Nothobranchius furzeri: one gene and its partner. The protein of the gene in region 1 purifies or fractionates together with the protein of each later gene. This does not show direct contact. Links are inferred from orthologs where the notes say so. Each region holds a gene or a part of one and is shown on either strand. Other genes may lie near its edges.

Region 1 (3,241 bases):
ATTTAGATGTTTCAACCAACTTTTTAAAGGTTCATTTCACAGAAAAATATTTTTTTTAATTGTTATTTCTGATTATAATCAATCACTCAGATCAGAGTTTTTCATGCAGGCTGATAGTCTTCTACCCCATCTCCTCCATTAGCTTCTGAATTTCTGATCTCTTTGGAGGAAACTGTTTAACCCTCCCACTGTCATAATGGGTGTGACCTCAAGGGATACACTATCAATCCTGCTCAATAGTCAACTTTCCTCGCGCGGTGACCCATAAAGACAGTGGGAGGGTTAAACAGTGCTACCAAGATTTTCATTTTTATTTTTCTCAGAAATGGTTAGTCCCTTTAAAATTAATGTTGCTTTTTTTTGACACATTTTAAACTAAATCCAAGATTTCTGAGAACAGCTGACATTTAGGGAAACATCATGTAATAGTCTCACGTCAACATATCTCATAAATAGTTATTTGGAGCCAGATTTTAGATTAACTATACCTTTCTGTTCATAAATATGACATATTATAACTTTTGTTCTTAAATAAATGGTCTACACATGTCAAAAACATGTTTATGAAGTTATTTACTCCAAACCAGTTTCACTTACGTGTGTGGAACGCTGAATTTTTTTTAAAATTATTCCTGAATATAATCGGCCACTCAGTTTTTCCAGTAGGCTGAACATGAAAATAGTCTCCTACAGCTGTCTCCTGCGTTAGCGTCTGATAGAAAATAAGACGGTGAAATAGGGCTGCAACAAACGATTATTTGGATAATCGATTAATCGGATGGGGTCTCGACACGATTAATCGATTAATCGGATTACATAGGGACATTTTTAAAAACTGCTAGGGAAACGTTATTTTTCTCCTTCCTTCACTTTATTAAACACAGCATTATTAGAAAACAGTTCAATAGCAGAAAAACAACATGCCATCACCTAAATTGTCTTATAAGGTGTATAGACAGAGACCCTAAGCTACACCTATCTGTGACCTAAAATGCTTGGTCCAAGTTAAACAGCTTAAAGAGCAAGTCAACCCCTACCAGAGTCTAACTCCACTCCTGCTTTATGTTTGAAAAATGCAACACATGCTGTTGCCTGGCAGACCGAGAGGGCGGAGCCGCTAACAAATACACACACACTCCGGCTCACGACAGCATTGTGACATCATAATGTACCAGTTTACATCATATCATACTTCTTAGCCAATAGCGGTGGCAGATTTAAATTAAAATACAGTGCAGAGTTTTTACCTGACAACGGCACAACACTGCCAGTTTTAGGCAGAATATTTAAATTTGAACTAAGATGCACTGAAGTGCCAAATTATTGACGACACGTGTCTGCAGCACGATTAGACACTCGTTTATTTAGTTTATCAGCAAAAAAAAGTTTATTTGGGGGTGACTTGCTCTTTAATTACAATTTTATGGACTTTTTTTTTACGAGCTTAGGGCATGTCTAGCCTGTGTAATAATCCGGGGCTTGGATGAATCACTTTTGAAAAGTTTTTAACTTACCCGGACACCGAGCTCTCTCCTTCCTCGCTGATGATTCTGACATGCTTGCGTTTAAGACGCTGCATCATCACCGTAGTATCCCCGTGCCATGCTGTCTGACCTACAAACGTTGAATGTCTTCGCCTGATTTAACTGAAAATGCTCCCAAACTTTAGAAGTTTTTACTTTTTTGGAGTCTCGCTGCTTCTGCCATGTTCCTCTTACAAACACCTGCCGGCTCTCCACCGGTCTGCGCGCAACGGCGGGCGGGAGGGGAGGGGGCTTTTGGAAGAGTTGCGCAACACAACGAATCGATGACGCAATTCGTTGCCAACGCTTTTAGTAATCGATTTTCATCGAATTTATCGATTCGTTGTTGCAGCCCTACGGCGAAACTCTAGGATTTGAAAAGCCTGACAAACACAGTCAAAAAATCAGTGGTGGGAACCTCCCATTTATGGCTTCAACCTGCCTCCCACGGAACAATGGGCTGGCTACATCCATACTTTTACATGTCAATGCTTATGACAGGGAAGGCTGTTGTTGGTTTAGCATCCACGAAGCAGCAGAGAATGTCTCGACTAGTAGAAGCTAACCGTTAGCATTAGCAACTCCACCACACAGCAGAACTTATCCAAGCATGTGTTATTTGTGGAGATAAAATATCTACATTGCAAATCAAATGGAGTCTGTGGTAGAGTCGTGATGCTGTTAGCCAATCAGAGACAAGATGTCATAATATCAGGAAATAAGACTCTAAATCCTGCCGTCTCAAGCTACTTTCTGTTCCAGCTGAATTCTGTCTTCAAACAGGTGCACCGGAGCTCTTTTTCCCCAGAGAATTACTAACTTTTTCCACTAAGGACCACTAAAATGCATTCAAAATATGAGTAAAGTTGACCTTTAAACATAATCTTACTAGACATGCTTTTGATTTTCTCATCCTAATCCCTTAGGCCAGCATACATGGATGAATATGAGAAGATAGAAGAAGATCTGCAGAAACAGTATGAGATTTATGTGGAAAAGTTTAGGAACCTCAACTTCTTGGAATCTCAGCTGGATGAATTTTACAGACTGGAACAGGAACGATTTGAGGTGCGTGAAATAAACAAACACAACTAGGAACATATTGTTGTTCTGGAATTGTCTAAACCTTTCTTGTATTCACTCCCTAGTGTATCTATGGAAAATATCAGTAACAAACTACAACTATGTCTGCACAACCTGTCTCCATAAAATCAGATTCTTTCATAAATCACGATGAGATTATAAGAGATGGTCAATTGAAAGTCCTGTGGTAATAATGTTTTTTTACTTGTGTGTTGTGCAGGAAGCTGAAAACAATCTGAGGATAGTGCAGCACAAACTGAGGGAGAAGGAGAGAGATCTGATGAGAGGATCCTGTGAGAAAATCAAACACACACTAAATGCTTACTCAAACCCATTTGTCCAGTCCCAAAACTCTTGTCTTTTGTCTCTGGCAGTGAAAGATGAGGACTCTGACTTGGATGTTCTAGAGGACGAAGGGTCAGACAGCGACCTTGAAGAATCTCGACCCTCTAAGCCACGACTCATCAGAAATGGACTCATGGCAGGTACGCAAACAGGCTATGACTGTGGTAAGCCTGACATATCTGGCTTTTACTTAAGCCATCATAATCTAAGAGTGTAAACAGTGTGGAGGGACTGAAGCTGACCTTCTCACCCAAGATGGATCAGGCTGCAAAGATGTATATAAATGTTCC
Region 2 (4,048 bases), on another chromosome or scaffold:
TACTACTAATTAGTCAAACTAGCCTATGGTTCCTGTGCTAATTGTAGCTGTGAATCAGCAGCTCAGCAGATTGGCTTGATAACATGAAACAACACCAGCCACTGCAAAATGGTTTAGTCAATTTAACAATGTCCCAGCTGAGCAGACTGATTTGGGTTGGAATCTTACTCATTAATATTTATTACATTCAGCCAACTTGACTCTGACTGGCTAAAGCCGGGCGGACACTGTGCGACTGTTTCACTCGTAGCGTTCAGCTTCAGCTCAAACTGTACGACTTCCTCGAAGAGCAAATCTCACGAGTCATGTGCTCACACTGTACGACCCAGTTCTCGGATGTGACTCGAGTGCTCACACCGTACGTCTGGTAGCAACACGTCGTACCTATAAGCATCCTAAAAATAACAGTTTTTACACAACACGCCAGACTTTTTTTGTGTTGCTATTGATGTCTGTTGTCCTTCGGGAGCGCTGTAGGAGGAGGACACACAGGGATTTATGGGGTTGGATGAGGAAGACTAAAGAAAGAAAGTAAATCAATGTTTTAGCAGTTCAATTTGACATAAATATGATTTCTTCGACAATATTCGTCATTGTGTGCGAAAAAAAGTGCATCAATACAAACAGAATTGCTATTGCTAATGGATAGTTTCTATTAGCCGGTACACACTCTGCGGTCTTATGGCTGCTTTATCAACACAGCCGACTGCGGTCACAAGCCAAGGTTGATAAGTCCTTAAATGCTAATTTTGCAGTGTGACTTAGATCTGTGTGGCTTGTTCTGACCCAAGCACTGACGTCTGTTTTTTTTCAGTGACTAATGTAGAAAATAGGGACTGGAGACTATTTTTACGTTCAGCATGCATTTATTCAACTCAGTGTGACCAACCGTATTTGATGAAAAACAACTTACATACTTTTCTCAGTGAAACCTAACGGGAGATTAGGCCGTTTAAGCGTGCTTTTAGCACTCTCTAGTGTCCGTTTGTAGAACCGAAAGCAAAACCTATCTCCTCACTGTGGGTCCATCCAAAAACAAACACCTTAATCTGAAAGCTGAAACATCTCCCCAGCCTTCCTTAGTGTCTACAAAAGAGGTTCATCACTAAATTAATAAGCTCAGCTGTGTTCATGATCTAAAACATGCAGGAAATGTGCTTTTCCTGCACAAATTGTATTTATTTATTTGGTTATACTTTTCCTTTTGTATTAACTTTTTCACAACATCACAAACAAACAGGTACAGTATTGAGAAACTGTGTTGTTTGGGGCTCTGTGTGTTTGCTTGTTAAGTAGCTGTTCTAGTGACTTTCCAGAATCCTGCTGTATTAATTATCGACACCCCTGTCACCTCGGAACCCTGATACTGCTGAGGCAGCAAGACCAGAGCAAACACACACACACACACACACACACACACACACACACACACACACACACACACACACACACACACACACACACACACACATGGCTATAATCCGGTATTTTTCTGTTCAGTACTTTAATGACTCACAGGGCTTAGTGGTAAAGTGAAGCATGCAAAATACGTAACTATAATTCAAGTCACCAGTACCTGCATTTGCAGTGTATGTGTGCGCATTTAACCTAAATCCCTTTGAACATTGGCTGAAAGAAACGATGAACAGCAGTGACATCCATTCATGACAGAGTTAGGTTAATGACACGACTCATTCTCACATGAAGATAGGCATAAATAATGCAGATTACTTTTCCACATCAGTGTTAGTTGGTACATCATGCTGTTTTGCACTTCAGTAAGTCCTAGTACAAAAGATCCAAACAAGTTGTAAAAAGCTTGTAAGGTTTCTCTGAAAATGTGAGGGTTTCCGATTCTTTGAAAATTGTGCTAGCTTTTATCTTAAGCAATGATTTAATAACAAGGAATGAATGCTGCTGTGTTTCATAACACACAAATCACATTATTTCTGATATTTTAAACTAGTGACTTAATTGAATCGACATGAATAAAACAAGTGATAGGGGAAAAGAAAAATGCAATTTCTAAATTCATCACAAAAACTGCAGAAATACTTTCAAGTAAATAAACATCATGTTACTATTTTTACTAAATAGCTGCTTTAGATTAGACAGCAGTGTTTGAGCATCAATATTTTAAAAACAGATCATCTCACCATGTTATAGTTCTTCTGAAAGAGAGATCCACCGCTGTAGAATATATGGGACAGAGAACTTTTCCCCACGGCTGCATCTCCTGCATGAACAGGAATAAAAACAGTAGAAAACAGAAGTTTATGATCTTTTTGCATCTGCAGTTTCCTCATTTAAAAAAAAACATCAAGGAAGAACTCGTTTAAATAAATGAAAACTTGCTCATTATATTTATTTAAGCGCTGTAGTTTATATTATCAATATATTTATGCTTCATCTTGAAGATAAACAAGATTTGTTGTGATGTGTCTGGTGTTGCATTGTTGAACGCTAATGAGAAATACTGAATCTGGTAAATTATTCCCTAAAAGGCTCGTATATAAATGGAGGTTAGCTAAGTATCAAAGACTAGAGAGTGTTTTGTTATTTTACATTTGAAGCTAACCGATAGCTTAAATCTCGACTGGTTAGCGTTAGCCTAGCAAACGTTAGCCAAACATAGGAAACCTTACCGACAAGCAGACACCTTGCCCTCAATTTCCCCATTGCAGCGCAAGCCTTCGTGACGCGATGAGTAAAATATGCACTTAATTCAATAATCTGGATAATATTGACTTTTACTGCTAATCTTCTAAATACTGTTCAACGCAGCAACTCGGACACAAATCGTTTCCTAGCAACCATCTAAAGTAGCGTCTTATTGGTGTACGCAGTGTATACGTAACGCTTTCATTGGCTGTTTGATATGTTGGAGAACTTCGCCCCCGAGCAAGATCTGTCAGGCATGGCTCATTCGATCCGACGGAGATAAGTAAATAGGACATTTTAAATGTTTTTCTTAACACTAATCATGACACATACTTGTAAATACTGAAAAACTGCATGTATGTAAAAACGTAATATAAATAAAATTTCAAGCGTTATGAGATATAACCGCTAGAGGGTACAAAACATACGTTTCAGAATAAAGTATTTGGAAGCGTTTTCAATGCAAAAACTCAGATTTTCTTCTTTATTTAACTGGGTCGTAATTGTTTTAAAAAATTTAATTTTCTGATTTTTTTTCTTCCTAACAGGGACGCGCTTTGATTAAATCAATTTAAGGCACGTGACTACCTCTGTGCGACACCGTGAGCACAGGCGCGTGCGCCATGCGTATTGGATGTTTTTATCGAGGATGCGCTCCCAAAGATAAAACACGCACTGTCCGAGCGGAAGCGCGTTCTCGTGGTTGCCACGGGCTCTAGGAGCTTACAGAAGGGGAGAAACGTCATCAAAACACCACCGCGCACCTCCGTGCAGAGGGACACAGAGGTTAAATTTACTACAAGCAAGAAAAAAGGGGAGAGGTGGCGCGTCAGGGAGCCTGGGTGCAGAGTCACTGAGACAGCGGTCAGAGTGGTAGGACCAGAGATTTGTGCGTCTTTCGGTTATCCGGTGCTCTACATACCCTCACACACACGCGCACACACACTGTGCCTTTGAAGCTGAAGCGGGGAAGGAGAAGGGGATCTCAGAGGCGGCCGCCCAGAGAGGAGGAGGACAATGGAGGGGATGCAGGCATACGGAGCGGGGAAAGCTGGAGGAGCCTTCGACCCTGTCACCTTCCTCCAGCAGCCTCAGACCATTCTCCGCATAGTGTCTTGGGTAAGAAACCACTCAAAGCAACAACACAGATAAATAAACCAGCTAGAGTTGTCGAATCGCTTTCTGTGGATTAAACAGGCCTGTGTCAAAGTCTGGAAATCACTTCATGTTTTTGTTGATCCAGAAACTGCTATTACTGTGTATCACACGTTATAGATAGATATTCTTATTTGTTTCTGTGAGCTGAGCTGATGTTGATGCAGTCACCACGTGAGGCCCGTTTGATCGTAAACAACCTTAACGTTTAAATGAACAGATAAGGAATTAG

Evidence for each region. Proteins that work in one complex are often made in the same cells at the same time.
Region 2: the proteins of cluap1 (region 1) and ift27 purify together in Homo sapiens (affinity purification with mass spectrometry; 3 studies listed by BioGRID and IntAct, with this or other methods). This does not show direct contact. The link is inferred for Nothobranchius furzeri from reciprocal best matches to the Homo sapiens genes CLUAP1 and IFT27.

What each region holds. Positions count from the first base shown.
Region 1 is NC_091748.1:64,772,036-64,775,276, reverse strand, and holds part of cluap1 (clusterin-associated protein 1 homolog), read left to right. Parts: intron 1-2,449; coding exon 2,450-2,591; intron 2,592-2,826; coding exon 2,827-2,899; intron 2,900-2,980; coding exon 2,981-3,091; intron 3,092-3,241. UniProt on the Homo sapiens protein: Required for cilia biogenesis. Appears to function within the multiple intraflagellar transport complex B (IFT-B). Key regulator of hedgehog signaling.
Region 2 is NC_091746.1:76,148,425-76,152,472, forward strand, and holds the start of ift27 (intraflagellar transport protein 27 homolog), read right to left. Parts: upstream 2,810-4,048; 5' UTR 2,680-2,809; coding exon 2,646-2,679; intron 2,237-2,645; coding exon 2,157-2,236; intron 1-2,156. Other genes in the region: synaptogyrin-1, read left to right, coding at 3,679-3,780. UniProt on the Homo sapiens protein: Small GTPase-like component of the intraflagellar transport (IFT) complex B that promotes the exit of the BBSome complex from cilia via its interaction with ARL6. Not involved in entry of the BBSome complex into cilium. Prevents aggregation of GTP-free ARL6.